Struthio camelus: one gene and its partners. The protein of the gene in region 1 interacts with the protein of each later gene in a pairwise test. Links are inferred from orthologs where the notes say so. Each region holds a gene or a part of one and is shown on either strand. Other genes may lie near its edges.

Region 1 (7,100 bases):
ACATTCAATTTTTTTACTAATTTTTTACTATTACACTGATTTCCCTTTGCAAAATAATATCATACTCTCAATAAGGCAATGGTATGCAAAAAGTAACTGCCAGAATAAAGCCTTAGCTTCTAACAGTCACTGGCACACTGAAGTCAAAGTATTACTTTGATCCAAATAAAAGGCATATTTCTGAAGATAGATTTAATGTATTGGCTTGAATAAATGTTTGTTACCTAAGTAAACTATGGCTCATGACACTTCACCAGCATAATGAAAACTTCATATTAAAGTGTACAAGCACTGTAAAATTACTATTGTGAGCTATTAAGAAATGACTATAATTTGAAATATTGTATGAGATACAGCACTTTGCATTTTAAAAAACATAAATCCACTTATCATATCTTAAATTCCAGTATTAATCCTGATGAGTTCTTCAAAAATTGGTAACTGTATCCTTCAATCTGGACCCAGAGGCTTCTGATTAGACACCTGTGCATGTAAAAAGACACTCGTTCTCAACAGAGCAGTTCTTTTATAGATTTTAAATGGCAGTTCTCACTCCAAGTTTAAGGGTCTAATAATGATGAGGTCATAAAATTAACAGCCTTCAAGACAATACTGCAAGGCAATACCTTCTAAAGGTCTATCTAAATGACAAAAACTCCTGTATATGTATAAGGCCTAAAACAAGTATTAAAACTATTTCACAAAATAAAAGGTTTTTGCCTCACTTCTGAAGTGCCCACTCCAGATTCTCAAAACCATTGTTATCACTGAATTATTTCTCACACTTAGACACATACACTCATGATGCTACTGAAAGTTCTAACTGTGCTCCTTTGCTCTTCAGCTCGTTCACGACTGAGGCACAGACCTTCAGTTATTAGGTGCCTAGCCCCTGACAATTTTAATTAGATAACAAAATATCTTTCAGGATCTGAGTTTTGTTGTTTCCTTTCAAAATATTTAAGCTTGAAAGAACTTTTAAAAGACCTATTTGCCATGCGTCACTCATTCTCTTAAAATAATCTTAAAACTCATATGTTTTACAAGTCTGTGCACAACACCCACCGTGCCCACGGTGGGTGCAATAAATACTGATTGCCTACTATAAACTCATAAATCTTAATTTACTACACCTATACAATTAAGCTCACATACAGCTTGAGAGTACAAACCCAGTACTAAAAACGTGTATGACAATAAAGCAAAACAAAAAACAAAGAGTACTGCAAACACCACTACAGTAAGTGTCTGGTGAAATAAAGACTGCAATGAACAAAGCTCTTTGTCTGTGGGGGTCTCTATTCTACTCTGAAATATCTTAATTCTCGGCTAAACTCTACGAATACAATTTTGCATAACAGTGCCTTCATATCAGGAAGGAACCATATTAAAACCAAAGCCAATTTACTGACTTCACTTCCTTCAGTAAAGTACTGCAGAAGTGCAGGTTATGGTTTGAGGACTCTTAAATTCCTTTATTACAATAAATATAATAGGGAGGTTTAAAAGAACTGAAGTCTATGGTTTATTTGCCTACTGAAGCTCTTACAAAGGACATATCTTCATAGCTTCTGAGAAGTTTTTCCCGTTCCTCCTGTATATTCCGAAGTTACTAGAAGAAACAAGAGAACCCTAAAAAGCACAGCCTACAAGAGATATTAAAGAAATTGGGGTTTTCAGCCCAAAGAAAAAGTGAAGGAAGACATATCAACAATCTTCTAATATGTAACAGAAAGAAGGGCAGTTGCTATCCATATCTGTCTGGAACAAGACAAATGACAACACCTACTAAAAGAAAGATGATTCAGTTGTAAAAGAACATTCTGGCAGTCAGAGACGCCCTGTTTCCCCAGAATCTCTTTCCACAGTCCTCCAGCTCTTGTGCAAGTAACAGGACGTGCAGCCCCTCCTCCTGAGCAGCATCAGCACCAGCCAGCGTGGCTCCACCAGATGCTTCTCTCTTCCCACCTTTACTGAAGTTCTCAATTAGACATGAAGAAAACTTTCTGACAGTAAAGACAGCTAGGCATTATTTTCTTCACAGAATGTGCAATGTCTACTACTAATTTTATGAGACCAAGTCAGGCAGGGAGCTATCTGATCTGCCTTGGAGCATGGAGGAACAAGAGGACCTGTTAAATCCATCCATAAGTCATTGTCAGTTTCATTTACTTGTAGGCTGGAATAACACTCTCATTTTGACCACTGACTATAAGCTTTAAGTCTCTTGGTAATACGTCTTTTTCTCATCTTGAAAGAGCTTACTGAATTCACCAGGGACCTGATGCAAATGTAAGACCAGCCAAAGGCATCTGTTGCTCAAGAGACAAAAGCTGCTGCTTTCAACTTCAGAGAACTCTTTTTTGGCTTGCACTGCTTCACGCTCATACTGTAATAATCAAACCCAGAGGATCAGCACGCCAGGCCCGAGTCCTGTGGGACAGCACAGAGCCTCTCAGAGCTGGGTTAACCTTCCCCAGCTGCCGCTGCCCTGGCACCCAGCCGCCACAAGGCGCAGGAAGGGTTCTCGCAGCCGCTCGCATCTCCTCGCAGGCCCTCAGCAGCGGGCGGGACATCCCTCCCAGTCCCTCCTCGCCCACCCCAACACCTCAGCGCAGGGCACGCCGCCACCACCGCGAGCCCGACGGCACAAACCCCGTGGCGCCCACCTCTCCCTCCCCACAGGCCCGCCGCCCCCGGAGGGCCTCAAGCCCCCCTCACCTCCAGCTTGTGGTTGATCTGGGACACGGTCTGCGCCTTGTGGCAGAGCTGGGCGAAGCAGGAGCTGAGGCTGGTCATTTTCTGCCGCCCCTCGTAAGTGATGTCGGCCTGGTCGGGGTCGATCTCGCCCAGCAGCAGGTCCACATCCACGAAGGCCTTGTCGAACTCCTTCTCCAGCACTTCCAGCCAGCGGAACATGGACACGCCGCCGCCCGGCGGCGAGGCAGCGCCGCCCGCGCCCCCGCCGCAGGCCCCGGCGCCCGGCCCGCAGGAGCCGCCCCCCGCGGCCGACATGCTGCCGCCCCCTCCCCGCGGCCCCCCGCGCCCGCGAGGCAGGGCTGCCGCCCCTCAGCGCCCGCGCGGCGCCTCCCCCCGCCGCCCCGCTCCGCGCCCGTCTCCGCTCCCGCCGCGCAGGACAACGCGGTGGTGGCGGTGGCAGCAGCAGCGGCCCCAGCCCGGCTCCACCGCGGGCAGCCACGCAAGGAAGCGAAAGGAATGCGCCGCGCGCGCATGCGCGCCGCTGCTGACAGGCGGCCTCCGAGGCGGCGCGCTCGGCCGCCCGGCGGCGAGCTGCGAGCGGCTCGTGCTGCCTGCCACAAGGCCAAGCTGCGGCAGGCAGCAACGGCCGAGCCCCAAATCCCCGATCTCGGCCGCGACGTCTCTTCCCGTGCTGCGCCACGAGGGGGCGCCGCTCTGCGCAGCTCGCCCCCGGCCGCCAGGCGGGCGCGCCGCCTGCCGCCTCGGAGCCCTTCCCCGTCTTTCCAGAGGCGCCTTTTTCGGTGTCGGCGGTCCCCCTCCCTCCGTACGGGCGTCCTCGCACGCGAGTTTCGCCTGTCCCCGGATCCCCGCAGCCGTTCTCAAGCCGCCCTTTCTCCGGCAGCCCCCAAACCCCTGTCACGTCCCTCCCCGGCACCGCCCAGCACCCCGAGCTTTGGGGAGCCCCCAGGCAGCTGTCATGCTGCGCCCAGCGCCGCAAACGCGCCCGGGCAGCGGGCGCCTTGCCACGAGCCCCGCCCGTGCCGGCACACCGCCCTCACGCGGCCAGGCGCACGCTGGCGGCACGGCCTGGGGCAGCCGACGGCGGGCCACGCCCCTAACGGCCGCGCCCGGGGCAGCCGACGGCGGGCCACGCCCCTAACGGCCGCGCCCAGGGCAGCCGACGGCGGGCCACGCCCCTAACGGCCGCGCCCGCCTTCGCCGTCGCCGTCGCCGTCGCCGTGGGAGCGGTTAGGAGGGCAGCGGTGCTCCCAGGCTGCCATCTCTCGGCCGCCAGCGGCGGCTGTCTCTGAACAACGCTTTCAGACCTGGGATAGGGCGCTGCTCGCTCCGTCCGCCCTATCCAGTCAAATGCGTATCTTTCTCCTGGTTAGGAAAGCGAGCCTTCTCACGCTTTCCATTTGAAAAAATGGTTCAGGAGACGGATGTCGCTGGAATATTGGTACAATTACTGAAAATATATTCATTTCCCCCCCCATTCTGATATGGATTTCAGTGAGACCATTGTTAGTAGCTTTTGTAGAGATCTCACGCAGCTTTACTTCATTGCATCAGAGTAAAAATAGTAATTGCACTTCAGAAGAGAAAAAGGGTAGTTTTAACCCAGATCAGCACTCTAATCCTGCCTCCAGCACGGCCCCACAGGCTGCTCTGCTAGCACAACTCGGGGGTCCTCCAGTCAGCAGTGGAGTGGAACTACCCTGACTGTGTAGTCATGCACAGAAAATGATCATGGCATGTCCCCTGCGTGCCCCACTCCCTGGGCTGTAAGTTATCCTGGGGCGAGTTTCTTTCTGTTGCTCCACTTTGCATAAATAATTGATTGGGACACAGAACGAATGAACAGCTCAGTGGTTCGGCCACTCACCTGGAACGTGAAGAGAGATGTTTAAGCAAGACAGAACTGTACTTCCATCAATCTGTGCTTTCAGAAAAGCTAGATGAAAGCAAACTCTACACCAGCAGTACGTAACACATTTCCTCTGGGATCTGATATCATAGCTTTGACAAGAAGCTTACAGATCGTTATTACAGACCTGCTCATTTGCCATTTACTGTTCAAATTGTCAGCAAATTGAGATAGGTTGTAACGAACTGAGAACCTAACTGGGGTTCTCTTCCTATTAAACCCATCCATGACAGCAGAAAAGCTACCAATACCTTTAAATATATACCTATACAAAGAAATCTACTGGCTCAGTAAATTTGGATATTCAGAATAATAGCTCAGCAAAGCGTTTAAGTGTTTAAACTCTAGACATAGGCACCCAAGTACTTTTGCACGAGCCAAGTTTAACAGAGCATTTGTTTGACCTTCATTCAAATGTTCATTCTCCACAAAGCATATCATATTGACTGTGTCACAGTTAATTCACAATAGACAATCAAAGAGTTTGCTGTATCCAAACCTAAACTATCATTGTTGTCATTATTGTTTTAAATTAGTTCAGCCACATGATAATATACAGCTTGTTTCAGGATTATCAGTTTTATTTGTTAGTTTTGGCTTTGATTCTGGTAGATATCATACTGGAGAAATATCTAGAGGATAAAATTCCATTCTCTGCCTTTTAAAATGGAACAATAATCTATCACTTACCTAAGTATTAGCATTTTCTGTTAATGTATCTCAGTCACACTTTTAAACATTATATGCTTATCTTGATAAAGTTTCCCATAGTTACTATGTAGCGTATCTATAGCAAGTACTACTTTTAAAAGCATATACTTGATGTAATTGTCTCTTTATAAGAATCACGCATTCTCAGCTTTTTAGAGTGTCCTTTCCCTCTAGCGTAGGGGTTGGTCCAACTCTATCTTAAATTGTATTTATCTACAGCGGTACCAGATTTTTCTGGTCGTTAATTTTAACTCATTCGTCCCTTGTCAGTGCTACATTTGTTTTGCATGTCCTTACATTTCACAGGTCAAACAAGGTTTTGTCTTTACTTCTTTCACTCAGAGATTAGCTTCTCAAATACAATTGCTTTCTAAGCCTGCCTCCAGAGTAATAGTTGTCTAACACTTGCTGGACTATGGATAAATGAAAAGGAACTTTAAGGAACTTTTTTTTTAAGAAAGCTGTGACACCAAGTCTACGGAAACGTAGGGTACCACTGTGTAGTATAGCTGAGTATTCCTCAACAGAAATTCTTTGTAAAAAGGCGGTTAACATTAAGAATATATGTCAGGGATATAAGGGTAAAAACATGAGTATTTTAATTATCTTAAAACTATAGTTGCAGGACCCCTAAAAAATTCTGAGCGATTCCAGTTACCCTTAAAATGCCTGCCAAAAGTAGCCAGACAACCTTAACTCTGTTCTGTAGGCAAATCATGCAGTAATTATGGAAGTGAACCTCAGAAAAGTTAGTAGTTTGGACCCTCAATTCGATTAAATTGATTTTAAATAAACTGTAGGATATTCTACCCTGATAACATCAACAACATGTGATAGTTTGAGTCAAGTAACCTACCAGTAAGAATTCTTGATATGTGGGTCTAGTTCTACTATGCCTAAGAGATATTTCTAACAGTCAAACAGTTGCAGCAAAATATGTGCTAAGAAAAATTTAAATTGGTTCAATACCTTTAATGTCAAAAGGACCTCACTTAAAGTTTCCTGATCTGCTGATCTGGCCCTATCTTACAGCAGAGCTAGGTTAATCACAAGCTAATTTCTTCACAAATAATTTATGCACATCATTTCAATTATTCAAATAAGATAGAGTGTACAGAATGCAAAGTGTCTGGGTTACTCTGCTGTTAAGTACCTTTGAGTAGAAACAGTATTTTATACATTTAAACTTACATACTTTCACTAATCACTGGAGTACCTAATAAATTCTCTGAAAACTTACTGTGCGCTCAAACAGTAAATGATGATAAGGGGAGTACACGTTTTCATACAAAGCAAAGCAATGTAATACCTGAATCAAAAGAAAAAAAACACTACTCTGATCAACATTTCCACTGCTACATATTTAGTACCTAGTGCCCATGCTAAGACTGGGAAACTGCTGCGTGAGATGTTCTGCAAGCCCTTGGTTAGAGCTAGCCTCTGCACAAAGAGCACATGTGTTTAGATTGTACAAAGAATGTACAATCTAAACACATGTGTTTGCACATGAAGGTCAGTTCACCTAGAAACTTCTGTAATTGCAGCCACCCAGCTGTGCATGCCAAGCTGCAGCGTGCACACATTATCAAGGCCATCTTCTGTGTGGTTAGCGCTGTGGAAACAGCTTGAATGGTTTGACGGTGTGGGTGGTTGTACAGTCAGGGCGCGAGATACCAGAAACAAAACGTAAGAGAAAACAAAGAATATTTTGCAGTACCAATGCGGAAGACAATTTGAGATGATACAGCAAGAATTTCATACC
Region 2 (7,321 bases), on another chromosome or scaffold:
GAGCAGGCTGACCAGCACGGCCCCCTGTGGGCATAACGGATGGGATCACTTGGCCAGGCAGCTTCCAAAGCTGCTGCCTTTGCCGCGATTTATCATTAACTGTGCACATCCCCCTCTGCCGGCATCCCTGCCCTTCTACCCTGGCCTCCTGCTTTCCTGACTGACCTATTGCCTGGGCACAGTTACCAATGGTGCAGCATGGCAGCTAGAGGGAAGGCACTGGGGACAGGGTGGAAGCGGTGGGGAGGCAGAGATTTTAGCTGGAGATGGGGGCGAGCATGGGAGGGCCCATCATATTCCTTTCTGTGGAGCCTGTGCCAGCCCAGTGAGGTCTCTGCTAGTTTCCTCTTGGCTGTCAGACTGTGAGCACTTTGAAGCAGGCCGTGCCAGGCTTTTATTGCACACACACTGCTTGCACAGTGGGACCAGGCCGGCTTGGCTGGCCTCCAGGCCTGACTGCCACAAAGAGGGAAATACAGGAATTGGAGTGAGACCACAGCGACCACCAAACAGCTGCCACTAGCAGCGTTCGGGCACTCTCCCCCAGCCAGGCACGAGCAGGCAGCGACGCCCTGCCTCACCACTGTCATGGCACTTAGCCGCCTACCCGCTGAGCCTGACTGCACTGGCCCACGTGAAAGCAGCAGGCTTGGCAGCGTGCGGGCCCTCACCGAAGGGAGCTGAGCAATCCAGCCGGGAGGGTGAGAAAAGGAGGAAGAGGAGGAGGCGGCTCTTCCGTAGCCAGGCTTTGCCCTCCTTGAATGCCTCCAGGGAGCGGGCAGCCACGAGCCTGAGGATGCTGTTGCACAGCAGAGAGCAAAGCCCCACTCGCAGAACAGTGTGAAGTTTTTTTGCTAGTTACGTTTTATGAAAAGTTGTTGGCAAAAATGTGAATTTTTTTTGGCTGCATTTTGCATGAATCTGGCAAAAATGTAACGTTAGTGTCTCCCCTTGAGAGAACTTTATTGAGTGGAACAAAGTCAGATATTTTTAGCTACCCATTGTTAGCTGAAGAACAAAGCCATAACTAAGATATTTTGTCTCTTACACTGAAACGGGACTATCAGACAAATCCATGTACAGTCATATGTGGCTGCCCATTCAGATGAAGCACGAGAAGGAAACTATTTTTAGCCTGCATACACCACAGAGCAACCACATTACCCTTTCTCTGCAAACTGGACCACCAAAACACATGGACAGAGCAGCAGGAGAGATAGGGATGTGTGGTCCTTAGATCCAAAAGCTTTTGCTTGTCTCTCAGGTCACCTGACAAGTGACATTTACAGAAGAAACCACCTTGTTCAGTCCTAAAAAAGAACTTTCATTTTCCTGCCTTTTTTTTTTTTTTTTTTTTTTCCACTCAGAGCTGAAACGATGCATGTTTTATCAAAAGGCAGTGGGGAAAGCTGACCAGCTCCTGGATGGATTTTAGGAAAGCAGCAGTTATAGCACACAGTACCAAAACCCAAAGCTACACCTCTTTTCCCAGACGCATGTAAGTGCCCTGAAGACCACGCTGATGATCAGAGAGAGGAAGCGCACAGGGCTGGGTCGTGCAATCTGCGGGGAAAGGAGAGAATCAGCAAAGCCCTGTCCTGGCAATGCACTCGCAGTCCTATTCCCTCTCCCTGCACAGTTTCACTGTCCTGGAAATGTAACTGTTTCACTGCTGCCAAGGCGGGGCTTTTGAAGGCATTAACCCTGAAACTCCAGCAACCACAGCACAAGGAAGACAAAGCCTTCTTTGAGAGCTTTAGTGCTCAACAAATGAGATCAGTAGTTTATGTCAGGCAACATTTTGCAATGCATTTATTTAAAAGAAACAAAGTGGTCCGTAAATGCCCTGGATTTCTGAGCGTGAGCGATGCTGGGAGCTTTTCTAAACAGTTTCAGTGGGATGCTTTGGTGAGTCATGGAGAAATTGCATTAAACAGCTGAGTGTTCTGCGTAATCAGAATGACCCTCCACAGTTAACAGAGCTGTGGCACTATCCTCCTATCAATCCAGGAATAAAAGGGACAAAAGCAGGGTGCCATCACACAGACTGACCCACAGGGAGGGATAATGTCTAGAGCAGGGTGAGGTCGCAGGATTAGAATAACCTTCAGAGCAGCCTTTAAATGGCTGTACCAAAGCAAGAGCCTGGCCTTTGGGAAGACCTCACTTGGCCCTACACCATCATCTTTCCTTTGCAAAGCCAGCTACTGAATCCTTCCACATTTCTCTGCCTGGAACTCCAGGCGGGCCAGCTCCTGACTCGCAAAATGCACCTTGTACTCTGTCCCAAACAAGCAGGACGATCCATGTAGGTCCGCGCGTAGTCCAAGACTTGCCAGGTGCCCTGGTCACCAAGGCCCCTGCCAATAACCCAAAAGAAGTAGCAGGTAACAATAATGCCTAACTGCGCTCCATCTCCCTAGAGAACCGGATGCCACCTATATAAGTGCCATGTGTCTATATAGCTAAACACGCATGTGAGAAAGCAGTTACAAGAACAGAAAGATGTTAAGTACGAAATGTAAATTACCTGTGAACTTTTCAGCTGAGCTAGAGTTTCCTGGAGGAGATGCTGCTTTTGTGACTCCTTGCTTTCTCCGAGGATTAGGGCTGCTTTTATCAGGGAGCAGTGATTGTTTTTATAAACTTGAAGCACAGTAAGAACTGGTTTAAAATAGAGTGAAAGGAGCTGGTGCGGATGGAATTAGACAAACTCTGAGAGCTGCTTTTCCAAAAATAAATTAACTTCTTGCAGCCCGCAGTGCAGAGGAAAGAAGGCCAGGGGCTTGTCAGGCATGCGTTCTTGGCTGCGGTGGGCTGTGGCAGGGGGCTGGTTGGGAGTCTTTCACCTTGCCGAGCTATGGCCCAAGGTGAGGGGCAGGGAGAGCATCCAAATGCGCGAGGAGTGAGCAGAGCCTAGGCGCTGGTGAGGGTGGTCTCCCACCTCGCAGCCCTGCCGGCAGTGCAAGGCTGTGGTCCTCCGTCAACACACAGCCCTGGGGCTCCCCTGCATGAAGTGCTCCCCCCACCCAGTGCGCAGCAAACCAGGCAGCCCCGAGCTGCAGCCCAGGACCACAGGCTTCACTCCCTGACTCTGCAAGAGTTAAGGAAGAGGAGGAGCCTCCTCTGCCAGGGCTCAGATAACAGCAGTAGCTGCAGCCTTCCTTTCAGATGCGTGCGTCCCTCCAGAGCAGACTTTCTGCTCTGCCTTGTGCTGCCTCCTCCTTCACCTGCCTTTTAATCCTTGATTTAATATCCCAAGTGGTCTCTCTCTCCGCCTCGAAGTAGGAAAGCTCCAGAGGTCACCATTCACCTTTTTTGAAAGAGCAACCTGAGCTCACTGGTGAAACGCAAAAGTCTCTGGGGTTGTGTGGGACACTTTTAGAGACAGCTCCCTGTTCTCATCTGCTGCAAACTTGCCCGTTTTCTCCCGTGAAATTCCCATAGCTATTCCCAGAGAGTTTGGCTTCAGTTATGTGCAATGCAGAGCCTGAGACCCCCACATCTTTGCAAACTGCTTTAAAGCAGACTGCGACAGAGCACAGACTCGAATGTGGTGCCTTGGTTTTGCTGTGTTTTTCCCTCTTCCTGCAAGAACGACAACCTTCCCTCTCTTAGCAGCCCATTAAGTACGTTAGTATTCATATGTGGAAGCAGGTGCAGTTGGAAAAGCCTTACCCCACATAGTAAGGAGCTGGGTAGGGAATCCAACTAGCAGGTAACAAGTTGTGTGTCAGTGCCTGCCTGACTTGGACGTGCTTTATGTCCCAGTCCTCGGTGCATTCCCATTTGCCTAGCAAGGCCAGCCTGGCTGACCAGAGAAACTAGTCCCCTTTTCACGGTGAACTGCCCAGGTTCTGATGCGCTGGGATTTGCTGCTGGAAAATCTTCAGCTCTTGTCCTAAGTCACAGTACCTGGCCTGGCTGGGGCACCTAGTGCTCTATCCGCTTGGAAAACAAAGCAATAGGGAGGTTTATGACTGAAGCCTGGCATTTCGGGAGTAGGGTGTTTGGGCTCTTGAGAAAGAGGTAAAGTCAGAGCAGTGAGCTCTCTGCTTGGAGGCTGATAACCAAGCAGGCATGCCGCATATTCAGTGTAAAACCCTGGGCACAGATGCATGATAGACAGAGGCATGACTGTGCACCAAGAACTCTCTTGACAAGAGGGGTCCTGTGCCCTGAACAGGCCAAGGTAAGTCCCTCTTTTCCTTTTTTTGGGATATATCTGTCGTTGCCCTGGGCCAGTGTGAGACACCACAGCCCCATGTCCATACAGACCCTCACGCTCAGAAGCACCCAACTATGGTCAAGGGGTACCAAAAGGCAGTTTTGGGGAGCACCACTGGGCCACGAATCGAGGAGAAGGGGGTGCATGTGAGCCTGTTCCCCTATGTCCCAGGGCTATGGCCTCACCTTGGGAATGGAGCTGCTCTTCAGCATGTTCACTGTATCATCCTTACTGTGGGACCGGCACAGCAGGTCCCAAAGTACTTGAGTACTTGATTTCTCCAGCCTTAGTCCTTGATCTTTGGGAGTAAAGAGTGAAGCGCTGCTGAATGCTCTCTGACTTCTTCCACACTTCAGTGCCCTAGTTGTGTCACTTCATGACCTATACAACTCCTTTTCTGGGTTTATGCCAGCCTAAGCCTATCCTGTGCAGAGCCGTGCCAATGCAGCACATATATAATGCTTTAATATCCCTTACATGAATGCTTCCCCTTTTGATCTCAGGCCTTGGCTGAAGTCTGCAGGTTTGCAGTTTATCACTGTTAGGAAGAGAACCTGGGTGGAGACAGGGTCTCCTCAGATGCAATACTTCTTGCCTGTGCAAAATTGTGTTTTCTGAACATAGAAGAAGTCAGACAAAAGGCAGTGTCTTTGCTCAGGCTTCAACTCCTTTCCCCGTTAACATTGCGCCTCAAAGCTCTTTTAGGTTTTTTGTCCATACTGCTAGCGCTTCTGACTCTGTCCTATGCCTTCTCTCTCTGATCCTTCCTCCTCATCAATAAAAAGCAGAATGGCAGCAACCCCCATTCACCCACATGTGCCCTGCATGTGCCACTCTTCAGGGCTGTGATGGGCTCTGGGGATGGTGGTGGCTGCAGTCCCACCACCCAAACATTTAGGCTTCCAAAAAACCCTCAATTTTCTGTTTTTGGACATCAGCAAGTCATTTCCTTGATGAAAGCAATCAATATGGCCTTATTTCTGGCGAGAAGAGAGCCCTCTTCTGACTGGCATCAAGCCTAAGGGCAGCCTTTCCAAGGCGGGCAGAACGACGCTTCCTTGTGGGGAAAGTCCTTTTTCTTCTATTTATTTATATCCTGCTTGCCATAAACTCACCCGGCTGTGAACCTACTGTTCTTACTAACAAACATGTCTCTTTAGTCTGTGCAGAAGTTGTTGGCAGGGCAAATGTAGCAGAAAGATCGCCCCTCACCCCTCCCCCCCAGCCCTTCTCCAGCTCTTCCATAAATCCTGGTCTCCCACCAGGTTTGTTTATCTGGCAGCTTATAAATGGAGCCCTTCCTGCTCTTTGGCAGTCCAAGGTCTCTGTGGCACAGGCCTGCTTCATTTGGCAGCTCTTGACCTAGGAGGGGACTAAGCTGGAGACCGGAAAGGGCCTACCACAATAATCTCACTGACATGATGGTCCCCGTAGAAGTTAATTTCATATCACATCTAGTCCCTTTGCCTGGGAGAAATCTATTAATAGTATATCAACATCTAAATCCCACCCTAGTTCTGGGAGCTAGGCCAGGATGAGGGGGAAGCAGAAGGAGCACCTTTCCTGCGAGATGCTGCTGTGTGAGCTGCCAGTTCAGTCCAGGAGGACGGCCCAGCTCTCACAGCAAACCTGCACAGAGGCCTGGCCATACTGGTCTTCTCATCCCTTTTCCTGCAGCCTGACAGAGCAGGACCCCCAGGACACTGCACTTCAGTGGCACTTAGTCCCATTGCTCTCATGTGGTGAAAGCTGCCAAGAGCTCTGGTGACCTGCTCCTGAGTGTGGGGTTGCAAGATCCTCCCTTCTGCCAGTGCCCAGGCCTGGGGGCATCCACATGAATATAGGCAGTGTGGCTCTCCTGAGGCTTTTGCAAGACAGAAGGGCTATGGATCCATTTCACAGAAAGTTTTTACAGGGATGCCTGAATGCTGGCTCTGTGATGGGGTCAGGCAGAGTCAGCAGGAGGCTGGATAACACGATCACGCCGGAGGTGGAATTTCCTTTCCTTGTCCGTTCCATACATGTTCAGTTTATCTTATCAGCATGGCGTGCTGACAGCACTCCACAACAGAGGTTCAGGTCTGGCGTCTGGGCCATGCAGCCTGCAGTGACGAGCTGGTTCAGGGCACAGAGCAGTTCAGCTGGTCAGAGCTGCCACGCTGCTGAAAGAAGGCTTGGGTTGCCTCTCCTGGCCCCAGCAATGCAATCTGAAAGACGCTTGGGATCATTCACTGCCCATGCAGCACAGCTGCCCTCCCCATCTGCCTGTTGGCATTGCAAACCTCTGTGAGCCACAGCAGCGGGGCAAGCGGGTGGCTTGGTTGCAGCCTGGGGCATCTGTGATCCATATGTGGCAAAGCCTGGGAGAAGCCCCTGACCTTCTAGGGGCTGGTAGGCCAGGCTGGTTTTCCATCCAGTTTCAGCCTCTCAGCACTACGCAGGTGGTGTATTCAAACTACTTATTTTAGCCATTTAACCTGTAGCAGAGCTGGGAAGGGATGGGTCTGGTGCTGGAGACTGTGCAGCCATCTCTGGACGAGAGGGTACCGGGGGACCTCAGAGCCTGCACAGAGTCTCTGTCAGCTGGGATGAAGCACTGGCTCCAAGCTGCACCATGGGGAGACAGAGGGCAGAGAGGGTGGAGGCTCAGGGGCTGAGACTGTGCTGGCAGCAGGGGGGCCATAAGCCCTCGCCTCCAGCTTGTGTGACACGCGTTTGGTGTCACCCGAGTGGGAGATCTGGGAGCAGAGTGAAATATGAGCTGCGGGTTCCCAGACACAGCTGGAGGAGTTCATCCTGTCTGGAGTCTGGCCCCGTTCCCTCTGTTTCCATGGCAGGAGGGGCAGGTCAGCGAGAACTGCCAGTGCAGATCTTAGTGGTGGGCTGCATGCAGCGATGCCGAGATGAACGGCTACAGCCTTCCCCAAATAAACATCTCCAGGCCGGGCAGGCCCCACAGCTGGCTGGGATCAGCCCTGGCCACACTGTGCCGGGGTGGCTGCCTGGGGAAATGCTCTGGGGCTTTCCGACACGTGCAGGAGCCGGTGCTGCTGTGCTGCTCTGACAGGGATGGCAACTGGGTCTGCCTCACTC
Region 3 (7,714 bases), on another chromosome or scaffold:
ATCACTGCACCAGGGGCTCCCTTTTGCTCTGCATAAGAGGTGCAAAGCAAGCAACAGCCCAAGGTAAGTTAATGCTGGTCGAGAACTGTATCTGTTTACTCAGCCTTCCAAGGTGTGTGTGAACTACTCTGTGCTTGGGAGTGAACACTTGTTTGTCCCTAACCAGCGTTGTCACCTGGCTGCCTTCCAGTTTGGTACCGAGCGCGGGACAAGGTGCTTCTCGTGGGGCTGAACGACTGCTCCTGAAGTGTGGCAGTCCAGGCCATGATTGAACCTCAGGTCCTGGCTCTGTGCCACAAACAGCAGAGTCCAGCACCTCTACAGCCTTCTTATGACGCAGAGGCAACAGATCACGGCCCTGCCCTGCCACGTGCTCAGTGCGTAGCCATTACATGTCCAGGACATTGCCATTCTGCTGTCCGCTTGGACAGGCGTGACGCCTGCTCTCTGATGAAGACAGGGAAACAGCTTGCATGTGAACAGAGATATCCTGGTTGCACGACTGAAACTGCACATACGCTCTGGCCATGTGGCTGATGTGTGTGTGCGCCCTCTTGGGACTGTGACAACCGTGTTTCGGTCATATCACTGTACCAATGAGGTCAGCGTAACAGGGAGAGACTGCAGGGCCCTTGTGAAAGGAGGCCACGGGTTTGCGAACTGCCAGTAGTGCACGGGTTGCAGTGATCTCCCTGCCCGGTGCTGGGAGACGCAGGACTGGCTGCGGGGACACATGAGAAGCTAGTGGTAAGAAATGGGAACCTGACTGTCCTGCTGAGGACCGCCAGATACTGCTTGCGCGCGGCCGGGCTTGAGAGCCCTGTGCTATGAGGATGGTCTTGGAAAGATGCTTGGAAGAAGGGGGCTGTGCCCTAATGGCCTAGAGCGAGGAGGAGGGTGGAAATGACAGGACTGGGTGCTCAGCTGCACTCCCTCGGGTTGAGGGGACCTGGTGGCTGGGGTGACAGTGAGTGTCAGCTTTGTCTCTGGCCTGAGAAACAAGTGCTCTGGTGCTGTGGTGGATCTGCTCCATCTGCACCGCACGAGTGTTGGTGCAGATAGCTCTTACTGTGTTGCTTGTAAGGCTCAAGCCTGTAAGGCAGTGCTCTATTTCAGCCCCTGGCAGTGGTGGGGTTGAAGGCACACCAGCGTCTCCATACTGGCAGGCAGGAAGGGCATTTCTGGGAAGCCTGTGGCCTGCATGGCTCACGCTGACCTTGGGGTGGATTTGGCAGCAAACGCTGCGGAGAGCTCTGGGAAAAAAGTCCTCACCCTGAGGCTGGCTCCAAGCCCAGGTTCTGCCATGGCATCAGATGACAAACACAGACCCGTCGGGTCCCCAGGGCTGTGGGATGGAGCCGGTCCAGCTCCCGCCTGAGCCCTACTGCTGCAGCACTCGGGCACCAGTAGAGCTCTGTAAGTCGGAGGCTCGGACCCAGGAGCTCGGACCTGTGCCACCCTACCCTCACTCAGAGGTTAGCAGGAGGTTGGGGCAGAAAGCACCGGTGCTGTGGGGAGTAAGAGAAGGCTGGACCGAGGCCCCAGCACCCAACAGCTCTTGGAGCAGAGACAGCAACTCCTGCAGCTGCTTTCTCTTGCCAGGAAGTGATGTGCTGAATTCAGATCATGCCTGTGACGTTTTCTTGGATTAATTCCGCCCTAATGGACTTTCCTGGTTTAGCTCTTTGCCTCTCTGGGCCTCACTGAACGCAGTGGCAGGCAAAGGCTGTGCGCCCACCACAAGCCCAACGTGGTGCCCATCAGTCTGTGTGCTAAGCAATGTCCAGAGACAACCCGACCCTCTTAACAGCTCCCCTGCCCCAAAGCTCAGCATACCCCAGCTCTGCCTCAGAGCGCAGCTCCGGGAATGGGACTTTGGTAAATGTTTCCTAACCCCACTGATACCTGCAGACTTGCAGGTGTTCCTCTTCTTTACCAGGCAGCTCTGCATACCCACACCAGTGCCGTCTGGTGTGAGCCCACCCCTGCTGTGAGATCCCCGTGGACTTCACGGCTGCCACAGCAGGAGGTCCAGGGCAATGTCCCTTCCAGCTAATATGCACCTTCTCGAACAGCCCGAAGCCCTGGCCGAGGACGGAATAGGGCGATGCAGATGCCTTCACACAGAGCACAGCAGCGGGAGCTGTGCACTGAAAGGCAGAGGGGACCTGTCCTGGAAAATAAGGCAGAGCAGCCAGCGGGTCGAAAGCCTGCGGAGGGGATGGGGATGGAAACTCCCCAGCACGGAGGCCCTCGTGGTAAGACGCGCTGCACATGAAGCTGGAGCAAGATTGTGAACTTTGGCCAGGCTTCCTCAACGTGCTGCCGAATGCCTGGCTTGGAGCAGGCTGGGCTTGGACACGCTGCCACGGCTGCTGCCTCGCCCCGAGGACTGGAGCCACAGGAGCTATCTGTCAGCAGGGCGTTAGGAAAAAGAAGGAGCAATGGCCCCTGGGACAGGGAGAAAGCAGTGGCAGCGATGCAGGGCTCTGTCAGCAGGAGGGCACCTGTGAGTGGAGCCAAGGGCTGAGCCCATTTAAAGCTGTTCTGGGGCTGTCATCTGCAGGGCGGACAGCAGCGCTGGGCTGGAGCGCCTGCTGCGCTGCCTAAGTCCAGGGCCTGGAGCGAGCTGCCGCCCGAGCCGGTGACCCAAGGCTCCTCTGTGGTCACCAACAGAAATGGTGTCACAGGGACAGCACAGAGAGCCCAGACGTAAAAGCTGCAGCAAAAAGGGACAAGTGGTGGAGCTCCTCCCAAGGCCGTACCTGGCCACGGGCATGCCCGCGCCAGCCCTGTTCAGCTTGATCAGGCTGGGCAGGGTGCTCCCCGCTCGCTCGCGGCGTATGGACGCAGAGGGGCACTGGCCGAGCGGCAGCGAAGGGGGAGCGGCGGAGCTCCTGGGCATGGGCCCCGTGGGCCGTGCCCAGCTGAGGGCCGGCTCCTTCAGCTGGTGCTGCCCTGCCCCTGCTCGGGGCTGCCAGCCCCCGGCACGGCGTGGTGCGGCCCCCCGCCCAGTGTGAAGCAGTGCAGAGGCCGCTGCCTTCTAGACCCGCTTGGAGTAGATGGGGGTCTTGTCTCTAAGCAGGAGTCGGGCACGTTTGCCTGCACAAACCCCGGTGTAGAAAGATCTGAGGCAGGTGCAGCTCATGTCAGGTGCATGGCTTCTCCCTGGGGTCTAGCTGTGTCGGGAGCCTCCATGTGAGTGCTGTGTGCCGTGGTTTGGGGTGGAGGGTGTTCGAGGTCCTGTGAGCAGCCAGAGGAGGGGAATTGGGGGGATGTTGGTGGGGTGCATGGAGGAAATTGCTGCTGTGCATGGGCGGGGGGGGCGTACATGCAGGGGCAGGGTCTGCACGCATGGAGCGATGTGGAGGGGAAGGTTGCTGCTAGAGGAGGGGGTCTATCTAGGGTGGGAGCCGTGTCTGGGGCGCACGCTACGCCGGGGCCAGCTCCGGGGAGGGCATGCTGGGCGCTGGGCTGGGCTCTTTGCAGACTCACCTGTTTTCTGCCACCAGGATCTGCTCGAGGAGTTTTCCTGCCTGGCACTTGGTCTCCAGCTCCGCTGTGTTCAGCAGGTTCAGCAGCAGGTCCAGGCCACCCTCCAGGCGGATCGCATCGCACAGCGCTTTGGCCACATCCCTCCCCAGCGTGGGCATCCCCCAGGCTTCCTCCACCAGCTGGAAGACCTCTGCAAGGGCCCTCCTCAGCTCCGCTGGGCCAGCCGCCTGCTTGGCGGAGGAGATGGCCAGGTGCAGAGCAGGCAGGATCCGGTCCAGGGCCACCTGCACATCCATGTTCACCCCGGGGGAAACCTCACGGTGCTCCCTGGAGCTCCCCCCACCTGCCCACCAGCCCGGCTGGCTCACGCAGTCCGGCACCACCAGCCTCTCTGTCCCTGACATGGCGAAGAACCGGCACAGTTTATAGACGGAGACGAGCAGGGTGAGCACCATCAGCAGCTGCTAGCACAGCATCCTTGGTCCCCCTCGTGCTGGGAGTGCCCGGGCAGGGCTGCCGTGCTTCTTGGGGAACCGGAGCTGGTCGGAGGAGATGGCAGGGAGGTGGAGGAGGGGGGACGGAGCTGGCCAGGAGTCCAGCCGCTGGGCTGGGACACCGGCTCCCTCTCCCCTCCCTGCCCTGCCAGGATGCGGAGCTGGAAGCAGTGGCAGGAACCGCCTGCCCGGAGCCAGGCTCAGCATCTCCAGTCCCCAGGGACTGATGTCACCCCGTTCAGGCACCGCCTCTCCAAGGAGGGGCTCGCCAGCAGCATCCCCCTCCTCGCCGCAGATGCTCTGGCATCCTCCCAGACCCCTCCTTCCACCGCAGCTCCTGTCACAGCCCTCGGCTTGCCCAGCCTGGGCTCAGGGCCTGCCTGGCGCTCCTCGCCACCCCGTCCCCCCTCACCCAAGCTGCCGGGCAGCCGGCAAGCAGCTCCCCGGCGGGCAGGGGCTCCTATGCTGCCCGCATGGCCAGGCTCTGACCCGAGGGACCACAGGATGAAAACAAAGGGCTGGACCACGGCTGGTTGTGGTTGCACACCGGCAGTCCTGACCCTGCATTTCAAACACATTTTGAATCGGTGCAGTGGGCTGAATAGCTCCCCTTGCCGTGGCATGAATCCTGAGCGGCCTTGCTGGGTGGGCTCAGGATTTGCATTATAAAAGAAAGAGCAGAGGCAGCCTGGGCTGCTTTATTTTTTTCCAGGCCAGACGTGCTCAGGGCAAAAATGTTGTGGACGCTTCTCGCCTGTGTTGGGAGGAGCAGCTCAAATCCTTGGCTCCAAAGCCAGGCTACTGCCAGCTCAGACTAAGGCTTAAATTCAAGTTGATGTTTTGATGCCACAGAGTCTCTTTTAATCCTCTCTCAATCCACATGCAAGGGACAGTCACGGGAAAGCGACATTAGCTCACAGCGAAGGACGGTAAACAAGGCGATCCGAGCGGCATGGTACTGCAGGAGACGCTGAGCACAGAAGCAGTAAGGATTTTGCTGATAAATTGCTATTAACCGGGGGTGACACTGATGCGGGCTGCTGTGATGCAGTGCAGCAGAGGGGTTTGCTACCTCAGAGGAGGGTGTTGTTCAGAGGGGCAGAACTCAGATCATTCCTTTTAGCTTTTCCTCACAAGCTCCTAGAGCTTGTCTTTTCTTTTCAGGATGGATTTTTAGCAACACCAGGCTGGGCTCTGTGTCCGATCTGTGTTCCCAGCCTTGCCCTGGGGAAATCGGCCCGTAGCCTGAGCTCTCTTGGCTGGCTTTGCTCCCCTCAGCAGCAAGGGACCCCCCAGGGCCTGGTTACCCTAACCCTGGTTACCCTAACCAGCCCCTCTCCCAGGGGTCTCGTCCCACAACAGCTTTGAGCGTGGCCGCAGGGAAGGGCTCGCCCGGCGCCCAGGTCTGCGGTTGCTGGTGGCCAGGAGGCTGACGCTGCGGGGGGCAGCTCCGAGGCTTTGTCTCTGCCCATCAGCCAAAGCAGCACAGACGTTGCTGAGCCCCTCTCGTTGCAGCCTCCCTCACCTGCGCAGAGGGGACAGGATCCCCCTCCAGCCCTGCTCGTTCTCCAGCCTTACTTTGCACGAAGCTGTAGTGCAACGCTGGGCTGGTGCTTGCATGCGGGGACGATGCCAGCCCTGACGGAGCAAACAGCAGGGTTACGAGGCTGCAGAAGTCCTGTCCACACAGCCTGCTTCTGGCAGCTGTCCTCAGCTCCCCAAAGCTTTCCTGGCAGGCAAACATACCTTTCTCAATACCAAATCCAAGGTCTTCCAGCAAGATTGGGATCAGCCAATGCCAGGAACTGCCTGTGCCTGACCTGGCAGAGGCAGGGCCCCCGGAAAGGCAGGCAGCGGCACCCGCCAGCCTGCTCAGTTTCTTCTCTCTGCAAATCTCTTGTCACTTATTAAAGCTCAGAGCTGTGACACCGCTGCCCCAGGGCTGGGGAAGACCCCTGCGGCTCTCCTGCCCCAGCAGTGCCGTGGCAGTGCAAACAGCCAGAGCCAGTATCTCTGTAGCCTCAATGTGCATTTGCTCCTTAACCCTGATTACATAACCATCCCGGAGTTATCAGAAACTGCAGAAAGAGCTGAGTTGACATTAATTAGTAACTGAAAAGATTGGCTGGAAAGGGGATAATGGGAGCAAAATACACAGGCTTTTATTTGTCTACTGCAGTGAAAGTGCACAGGACTTGCTTCCCCTCCCTCCAAGCTGTTCACCTCTGGCCCCTGGTACCCATGCACAGAGGTGGCATCTGTCCCATCCTAGGCTGCCACCTCTTGGTACTCCCCAGTACCAGACACTGAGAAAGCAAAAATCTCTACAAAACGGTGATGTTTCAGGCAAGTGTAAGCCCAGGGCCTTTTCTTTTGCCCTTTGAGCTCTGACCATCAGCGGGATCCTTGTCTCTCCCCACTCCCCCTTAGGCTTTTCATCCTGCCTAGACCAGGCTGGGAAATAGCCTCCCACTGAGACGACCGGTTGGGAGCTTTAATACCGTGAGATTTGCTAAGAAAAAATTGTGGCAAGGCCTGAAAAGTGGTTCCTATTTCTGACCTCCTGTCTCCCCCGGCTCTTTGAATGCGTGGCCAGCCTGCGTGCTGGCCGGGAAGGCGCAGACAGCGAAAGCGTGGACCCTGGGCTAGACCGCGCTGCGCAGCCAGGGAGCCTTGTCCCCATCCCACCCAGCCAGCTTGGCCCGGCGCCGCGGAGGAAGGCCGGGGGGGGGGTGCATCTCTGCCCCTTTTTCCCTCTGCTTTGACCTTGGCCTGTTTGTTTTCTCCCGCTGGGGCAGGCTGAGTAAACGGTGGAGGCCGGGGCTCCGGCTCTGCCGCGCTGCAGCCCGCACACTTGCAGGAGGGCTGCGCTCCCGGCCGGCCAGGATGAGGCTGCTCTTCCCTGCCCTCTTGCTGGGCCTGCTCGCCGCGGCCCGTGCTGCTGAAGGTGAGTCTGAGCTCTCGGCCAGACGACCCCGCTCCGGGCGCTTGCCGGCACCGGGTTACAGCGAGGTTGGGGACGGAGCGGACCCGGCTGTTGGGCACTCAGAGTGGCTGGGGGAGCTCAGGCAGGGTGAGGAGGGAGACAGGCAGCATGTGGGAGCCCCAGCCATCCTGCTGTGTGGGGCAAAGCCGAAAGCGGGCAGCACAGTTTGTGGGCGTCAGCGGTGCCTCTGGTGTCTGGGGCGAATCCCCGGCCGGGCTGCGGCTGGGTCGCGGGGAGCCAGCACGCAGCTCGGATCGTGGCACAGCCCCGTCCGTGACTCCCATCCCGCCCCAGGGAGCCAGGGGTGGGGAGCAGGGCGACAAGGGAGCCCCTGGGGCTGGGGGAGGCCGCAGAGAGGTGAGGTGTCCCTCGAGCTGGACTTGATGCTGTTGCCTCTTGCCCCCGGGGCTGGGGAGGGCCGGGGAGGAGAGGTGCTGGCCATGCTGCCTGGCCCACGTTAGTCCTTCCTCGCTGGCTGGTGGCTCTTCCAGACTCCTGCGTGGGCCACTGTGAGGATGGCTTCGATGAGAAGCGGAAGTGCCAGTGCGATACCCTCTGCGTGTACTACCAGAGCTGCTGCAGCGACTACTCCACCGCCTGCAAAGCCAAAGGTACCGGCCCTGCTGGAGCCCTCCGTCCCCAGCTGCCGGCAGCGAGGGGGCCGGCTGGGCAGAGCGGGGACCTGGGGGGACGCAACCCTGGGCTGCTGGTGCAGGGCCAGCTTGGCGCACATTCACGC
Region 4 (7,854 bases), about 43 Mb from region 1:
GGTTGTCCCATGTTGAGTGTCTCCTTGAAGGAAAACTGGACACAGCACTGGGATATTTCTGGGGAAAGTCAACTGGTCTGAGAGAGCGCACAAAATTCCCTTTAAAGTCTATGTTTACCACATGGCAAGTCAATGATTAGGAATATAACATGACACGCAACTTAAAAGAAAAATGTTCCAGCGCTGTGTTGGACGGGAAAAATAATTAAAAAGCATCAAAGTTTTGGCTCAGAGACACAATTTCCACTTAAACATGTGACTGATGCATCTTTTCTTGCTTTGGGAAATTAAAAAAAAAAAAAAAGAAGAAGAAAAATTTCTACAATGCATATTTTCTCTAGCGATAAAACTCTGCAGATCTCCACAGTCCAGAATCAGCAGAACAGACCAGTTCCTAGGGTAAAGGCAACGCTTGCATTTGATCCTAATCTATAACATCTGCAAGGATCAAGGGAAAGACAACGCACAGGGCCTTGAGAAATCTCCCAGATTCTTAAAGAAAACATTTCTGTTCTTGCTAAGCCAGCGTCCTGCTCAAAGCCCCATTAAGATAGTAACCTTAGAAACTACTTTCTGGCACCCATATCAAACGCTACACATGCGAGCTGCCTGGGGAAGCCACACAGCACCAGAAATATAAAAGGGGGAAAAGTAGTTTCAGCCCCTTTCGTGCAGATCTCAGTACCTCAAATGCTAAGCGTGGCTAGAGTTTCACAACCTCTTGAAACAAGTGCCTCAATCTAGTGCATCTAGTGAACCCCAGAGGGAAACAGAGACCAAAGGATTTGCACCTTGTCAGGTATTTTCAGTTTCTCAGACACCCCCCTGCTCCCCCAACCTTGTCCCGGCATTTACTGTAGAACAGTGAAGAATCTGGTTCCAAACTACAATCCCTGGAAATCTTCATCCTCAGCACAGCCCACAGAGGGCACCAACGAGATGCGTTTGGAGCAGGCTGGGAAATGCGGAGAGTCATTTCTGGTAAAACTTCTTTAATGTGAGGAATGTCACGGGCTGGTACGGTTGGCAAAGTTTAATGCTGGACTTTTTTTTTTTTTCTTGACTTTTTTTTTTTTTTAACATGATCCTATGACTTCTTGATGTGAAGACAGAAATGTGCTCACTCTGCCAGTTCACCCATACAAGCCACACAAGAAATAATAATATGGGGGGGGGGGGGAAGAGTACAACTCTGAAAAAGAGAGTGAGGATAGGCCAGCTGATGTAAACAAGTTATGAAATAACCTAGGTTTGTATAACTGGCCCGATTGTGTAATGCCTTCCACAGAAGTGGAGGATTTAGTCTGTGTAGGCATATAAGCTGTTTTAAGATGTTTTCTTAGAAAAAATGAAAAGGCTTGTTAAAAAAAATTACTAGTCTTTTAGGTCCATGAATTCATGCAGTTTCAACAGGAAATATCTTCCATTCTTCAAGTTCCATTTATTACTCAAGACCAGAAGCTCGCAAGAGGAAAGAAGTATTATCCCAGAGTGTAACTAGATCATGTAAGTCTCAAAAAAAAAAACTTGCTTTCGGAAGGTCAAAAGAACAGGAAAACTGATCAACAGCTCAACACCAGCCAGCAACTCTCGGCAATCCAAGGAGTGTCTGGGCAGCAGGAAAAAGCAAACTATCACACTGTAAGTGTTTAGAAGGTCTCACTGACGGGAAATGCAAAGACTGGTTCACCACCACAGACAGAAAGTTTGGGGGCAGGGGCAGAAAGCAGGGAGACCCCTTTAGACGCCTTAAAAGATTAAATAAAGGCTGCTTAAGGGGTGCCCGCGTATGTTTTAAGGTGGTCGCAACAGCGTCTTGAAATCACACAACCCCTCTCAAAGCCACTCTACAGCGAAGACGCCCAAACTGCTGCGAGCCAGCTCATTTGAAAGTGCCAGACTACCTGGAAAACGACGATGAAAGGAGGAAGAAACAAAAAATGAAGCAGCAGCTACCTAAGCGAACAGAAGCAGGACGAAGAGGACGGAGGAATAAGCTCCGCGTATGTATTTCCACTAGTATCCCCGGAGAGGACTCGGCTGCGGGGAGCGCTCTGATTTCCAGGGCAGCCCTGCCCCAGCGCCGCCGCCTTGCCCCGCCGGGACGGGCGGCTCCGGCAGCCCCGCGCCCGCCGGCAGAGCCCCACGCGCGGCGGGACGGCGCCGTCCGCGCACCGCACGCCCCCCCCGCTCCCCCTCCTCATCCCTCCCCAACCCCCCGCCCAGCACGCACCGAAACCAGCGGAAAACTCCGCCAAACTCGCGGCCCGAAGGGGCTTGCCCGGCCCTACCTGCTGCGCGGCGCCGCTGGGGTAGGTGTCGGGGTGTCCCGGGGAGCCGCTGCTGCCTCTGGAGGAGGTGTCGAAGCTGCCGGGGTAGTCCTGGTACATGGTCCGCGGCGGGGCCGGGGAGACGGGCCGCCCGCCTTCCCGCACCGACACCCGCTCGCTCCCTCGCCGTCTCCCCGCCCCCTTCTCCCGCCCGATCTTTTATTTTCCGCCCGCTCGCTCGCCTTCCCAGGGCTCCGCCGGGGAGGGGGGGGGGCGGGGGGGAGAAAAAAAAAAAAAAAGGACTTTGGGCGGAAAAAGGAAAAAAAAATAAATTTTTTTTAAAAAGCTCCGGCGATGCGAAAAAGGCTCCGCGAAACCCCGCGGCGGGCAAGGGGCTGCCCGGCGCGCGGAGGGCGGCGGGGGGCGCGGCGGGGAGCCGAGGCGCGCACACGCACGCTCCCGCGCCCGCACTCACACGCGCGCACCTTTGCGCTCCCCTGCGCGCCTGCCGCGGCGCGGAGCGCGGGACGCGGCGGCGCAGCGGCTCCCGGCTGCCCTTTTACAAAAAGTGGCGCGGCGCGGCGCAGCGCAGCCCAGCTCCGCGCCCGCGCCTCGCGCCGCTCCGCTCCGCGCGGCCGCGGTGACTCAGAGCAATGGCACCGCGTCAACCCCGCGCGCTTATTATCCGGCCCGGCCCCGCCGCCGCCGCTGCCGCCGCCGCACCATGTGCACTTGCACACGTCAAACCCCCGGCTCACCGGCCCCACCTCGCCAGCGCGGACGCTCCCACCTGCCGCCGCCGCCGCCGCCGCGGGGGGGGGAGGGGGGACCGCCCCGCCCCCCGCCCCGCCCCGCTCCGCTCCGCCGCCGCCCCCGCAGCCCCGCGGCGCCCGGCGGCCCCGCGCTCCGCGCGGCGGCGGCGCCCGGCGGGTTCCCGGCAGGCGCCGCCCCGCTCCCGGCCGCCCTCCTCCTCCTCCTCCTCCTCCCCCCCGCACCGCCCCTCCGCTTGGTCCCTTCCATTGTCGCACGTTGCCAAAAATGGTCATTTGCGTCGCTCTACGCGAGTGTGGGTTTCCTTGCCGAGGATGACGTGTTCCGATAGGGATTCCCTGCTCCGCCGGCCGCCGCTCCGGCTGGATTTAAAGGGGAACGGCGCCGCTGCGTCCGCCGCGGGTTCGAGACCGCCGCCCGGCCGCGGGGGGTTTTGGGGGGGGGGGGGGGGTCCAGGCCGCTCCGGCCGGGCCGGAGGTGGAGGTGGTCGTGGAGGTGGTCCCCGGAGGAGGGGGGTGGAAGCTCCGAGGGAGCAGCCGCCGAGGGCCCGAGCAAGCGGTAAGGGGGAAAGTAACAATAGCGATAATGACAAATAACGATAATAAAAAGCGCGCTGCCCGCGGGCCAAGCCGCGCCGCGGGGTCCAGCGTGTCCCCCCCCCCCCCCCCCGCCGGGTTGCCCTGGTGCGGGGCGGCGGCCGGGGGCTCCGTGCGGGGCCCGGGGCGGGCGCGGTGCGGTGCGTGTCCGCTGCCCCGGCTTGCGCTGGGCTGGGTGTACAGTCGTTTTTACCACTTTTTTTTTTTTTTTCCATTTTTTCTTCCTGTTTCTGTTTTAGCGCATCCCTCCATCCTGCTAGGAGCCGGCTGCAGAGCCGCTCCGGGCATCCAAACCGCAGTATGTCACGGTAGCGGTAGGTAACGAATCGAGGCATCTGATTTATGGCAGAAGCTCAAGGGCAGGGGCTGTGACAACCCATTTCAAGCGTGTTGCGTTAGGAGGTCAACGCCTGGCCCAGGCTGGGAGGTGGCAGGAGCACACGCGGCAGGTCTGTCCTCACCAAGAACAGGGACTTTTGGTGAGCCACAGCAAATACAGCAGTTGTGTGCGTTTACCGATTATTAAAATGCTGCTATTAAAAGTGAAATGTTTATTTTCCATCTTCCCTAGAGGATTCATCCAGCACTTAGAGCGTCTTTCCTGCTGTTAGGGAAGGAGAAATCATCTAACTTCAAGCTATAAAGTCCCATTTAAGTTGTCTCATGGAGAAAGTATTCTCCCACAGCAGCTCATCGGAGAGTAATGGGTGTTCCTGTACCCCTGCTATCATCCTAGGGAAGGAAAAGGCAGCACCGATGAGAACTCCAGCACTTTGGGGGAAGTCTGAAAAGAAGCAGCATGTCAGTGAGACGTCTTTAGCACCTGGCAAGCCAGGCGTTTGGGAGTAAAACTCCTGCTGATGCTGTTTGGTTTTCAGCACCTTCATTTTCCAGGCAATTGAAATGCTTGATCCAAATTAGCTGGCCTATTTTGTGCGGCGTCTAACTTGGGAGGAGGTGGGGCCAGGGCTATAAAAATAAACCAGTGCTTCCAATTTGCATTGCATTAGCAGCGAGGAGCTGGGGAGGGGGTGAGTTACTTTAATAGGCACTGTGCGATTGTGACGTTGTTTTCTCCTTTGATTGTACGTCAAACAGATGATCTGCACATGCTTGATTCTGCTGGGAAGAGAATTAGTTCAAGATGTGAGAGGAATTAGCCTGCAGTCGTTAAGGGACGAACAGAGGCAGAAAAACACACATTGTAATAAAAATAGCCTTAACAAAAGGTTTTATTTTTGGCTAGTCACCTCTCTTGGACAGCTCTTCTGCCTCCAGTTCTCCTCAGGTACCGGCTACTGGCGGCCCCAGTATCTACTGGATTACATGAACCACTGCTCTAATTGGGGATAATAAACCTTGGGTTTCTTCATGTTTTAAATCAAGCTGGTAGTCTTGTAGAAATGAAGCTACTGTGCACTGAGGAATGCAAAAGTAATTGGTTCAGAAAGACAGCCAGAAAAAAGGGGGGAAGGATGTGAGGAGAAAAGATGCTGTAGCTTTAGTATTAGGGCATTTTGCTAGTAGAGACCAGCTTTCTTGCTCATACTCCTAGAATTGTTTCTATATATATTTTTTTTCCTGTTCATCATTAAACCTAAAATACCTGCTTTCCTCATGTTTCAGCTCCAGCACAACATTTTGAGTGTTGTTTTCAAACATTATTCCAACATGATTTTGGCACATCTACCACGTCCTGCCAAATTTGCATTAGACCTTGTCTGGGAACAACTCACTTGAAACGACGTTTAAGTGCTGTTTTAATATTCGGCTTCAGTTAATGTGGATGCAATTAGTTGACACTTGTAAATCGTCAAGTTAAAAGCCCTGTAAGAAGTGTAGGAAGTTGAAAGCACACCTGAGGCCAAACCCTCACTTAGTGTCAGTCAGTGAACTTCTACGGCTGGATCCGCACCACCTTATCCTCCGCAAGCACCTGCCCCACAGCCCTCGGATGCAGTGTTGAAGTAGGCAAGTTTTACAGTATATTTACATTGACTTTGGTAGCGTTGCTTCTGGCCTGAGAGCATAAACTCTCTCGCTAAGAGAGAGCCACGCATGCAAAAGGGAACAAGAAAAGTCGGGAAAAGTAAGCAGCCCTGTGGAGGCTTTTCATTCTGGTATCAGCCCTTTGTAGTACTTTTTTGTTGTTGTTGTTGTTTTTGTGGGTTTTTTTGGATTCAAATAACACAGGCCAGCCTGGCTCCCAGTGCCCCAGACACATGCATTTTTAATCCACGTACAGACCGAGCTTCATTGTGCAATAAGCTCCCTGCTTCCAAAAAAACAAGAGATAACATGTGTGTCTGCCTAGTCTGTTCTTGCCTGAACCACAGACAAATTAAGACCAACCCAGGTTCCAGGGCGGGAGAGGATCACTCTAAGGCAAAGGAGACTGTGGCTGCCTGTGCTCCTGCGTTTCTGTAGCAATTAGGAGACTGAAACCAAGACCCGGGAGTGCTTTCCACAGCGCGCTTGCAGGAGCGAGGGTTAAGGGTACGTGGTAGCACCTTAGACTTAGCTCTTTGCAAGCGCGTGGCAGAGCCTGGGATTTATACTTCCTGCTCTCGGACTCCCTTTCCAGGCCCTGCTGTATCGATCACACTGTGCCACCTTCTTAAAGGCGCGACAATTGATTTGAGATCAAAAGGGAGAATTACAGTGACGTTCCTCTTTCTCCTTGCACCTCTCCTTCAAAATCGTTCACACTCAACCTACGAAGAAACCTGCAGTAATTATCTCGTCTTAAACGTGAACTGCAAGCCGTGAGCAAAAGCTTAGCAGCGCTGTGGCTGCCTGCACCGTGGGCTGGGCCAGCCGAAGCCCTGGTGACCTGAGGCAGCCTCCAGGCTGGGCAGGGGAGTGAGGGCGCCCCGGGGAGTCCTCACGTCCCTGAGGAGCAGGAGTACGACAGCTTGGCACTGGTGGGGTACGGGAAGCTGCAGAAGAGCCCAAGAAAGGGTACAAACCTTTTTTCCCGTATGGTTCCTTGTGTCCTGTTTTAAAACTGACTTCCCCGTCCCAACGGGCACTATAGCTATTACCATTCATTAAATTGCATTTTTACTGTATAAGCAACTTTGTCCCTTCCCAAGACCTTCTCCTCCACTGAAGAATCAGCATGTTTCCAGGGCTCTTCAGTGCTTCCCAACAACTGTACTTTCATCTGTGCAAGAAGTTTGCTTTCATATTGTTTCTGTAAGTGCTAAGAGCAAGTGTTTTGATGTTAACTTCTGGGAACAAACTCTTAAGCTACCACCTCACACTTAATTACAGTTATTTATTAAGTACTCCAGCGTATCCAAGAGAGAACGGAGGTTTTCTGCTTCAAAGTGTTTCTGGACATAGTTTGGCAAACACCTTTCACCAAGTAGAGTGCTTTTCCCAAGCGTGCACTGTCAGATCACAGAGGCTTTTCTGCTGTTGATAATCCTGTTGTTTTAGGAAGGCCTAACTGTGTACACAGGGCCCGGACCCAGCCGGGCGCCTTATCTTTGCAGCAGTGAGTCACGCCTTTGAATTGCTCTCAGGTGACTGCCGTGAGATGCTGCGTGTGTGCGAGTGCGCCCAGCTGGGCCAGGCCCACCTTCCCAGCGGGGCAACTGCTGCCCTACAGCCCCTTCGCCTCGATGAGACTAATCCTGCCGCTCTTCCTGCAGCCTGGCGATCGGCTCTCCTTTAACTCTTTCACAATCCCCATGCCAATAAAAGCCCCAGGATAAAGCCAGATACTATGATGCTATTGAGCCGTTTGCACAAAGGTTCAGTGAAGCTGGGGGTGAGGACAGGAGTCTCTCTCCCAGCGTTAGTTCCCTGTGCCCCAGCCAAATCGGTCCAAGTGGGGGCCTGCGGCATGGCCTTGAAGGCCTTAATCCTGTGGTGGGGGCTGCAGCCTAAAGCAACGCCCCACCAGTCCGAGCCCCTTTCTCCCAAAAGCTCCTGGGAGCCCTTTCTTTGGTGAAACCTTTCCCTCATCTTCCTTCACGCCCATTTTCTCCTGCTAGCTTCACACATATGGCAGCTTTGCTCTTTTGGCATTTTCCCTAGGGAAAAAGGTGAAATGCTTCCTCCCCGCTGCCTTCAGCACCTGCAGCGTGGGGCAGGACAGGCCAGGAGCTGGGGAGGCCAGGCAAGGGTGGAGGCTGCGGTCCTCTGGGGCCAGGCAGCACGGGGCAGCGGCAAAATGATGCTGCAGCGCTAGCAGCGCTGAACGCTTT

The links.
Region 2: the proteins of GOPC (region 1) and MYOCD interact in binary tests that used the Homo sapiens proteins (3 or more experiments, as listed by UniProt). The two-hybrid records come from large-scale screens. The link is inferred for Struthio camelus from reciprocal best matches to the Homo sapiens genes GOPC and MYOCD.
Region 3: the proteins of GOPC (region 1) and VTN interact in binary tests that used the Homo sapiens proteins (3 or more experiments, as listed by UniProt). The two-hybrid records come from large-scale screens. The link is inferred for Struthio camelus from reciprocal best matches to the Homo sapiens genes GOPC and VTN.
Region 4: the proteins of GOPC (region 1) and FOSL2 interact in a two-hybrid assay, tested with the Homo sapiens proteins (2 studies listed by BioGRID and IntAct). The two-hybrid records come from large-scale screens. The link is inferred for Struthio camelus from reciprocal best matches to the Homo sapiens genes GOPC and FOSL2.

Annotation. Positions count from the first base shown.
Region 1 is NC_090944.1:64,707,576-64,714,675, forward strand, and holds the start of GOPC (Golgi-associated PDZ and coiled-coil motif-containing protein), read right to left. Parts: upstream 3,016-7,100; coding exon 2,722-3,015; intron 1-2,721.
Region 2 is NC_090960.1:14,175,117-14,182,437, reverse strand, and holds the start of MYOCD (myocardin), read right to left. Parts: upstream 3,009-7,321; 5' UTR 2,531-3,008; intron 1-2,530. UniProt on the Homo sapiens protein: Smooth muscle cells (SM) and cardiac muscle cells-specific transcriptional factor which uses the canonical single or multiple CArG boxes DNA sequence. Acts as a cofactor of serum response factor (SRF) with the potential to modulate SRF-target genes.
Region 3 is NC_090957.1:16,421,310-16,429,023, reverse strand, and holds the start of VTN (vitronectin), read left to right. Parts: upstream 1-4,704; 5' UTR 4,705-4,974; intron 4,975-6,787; 5' UTR 6,788-6,875; coding exon 6,876-6,936; intron 6,937-7,466; coding exon 7,467-7,586; intron 7,587-7,714. Other genes in the region: NAD(+) hydrolase SARM1, read right to left, coding at 3,496-3,950. UniProt on the Homo sapiens protein: Vitronectin is a cell adhesion and spreading factor found in serum and tissues. Vitronectin interact with glycosaminoglycans and proteoglycans. Is recognized by certain members of the integrin family and serves as a cell-to-substrate adhesion molecule.
Region 4 is NC_090944.1:107,909,205-107,917,058, reverse strand, and holds the start of FOSL2 (fos-related antigen 2), read right to left. Parts: upstream 3,009-7,854; 5' UTR 2,391-3,008; coding exon 2,292-2,390; intron 2,004-2,291; exon of another isoform or gene 1-2,003.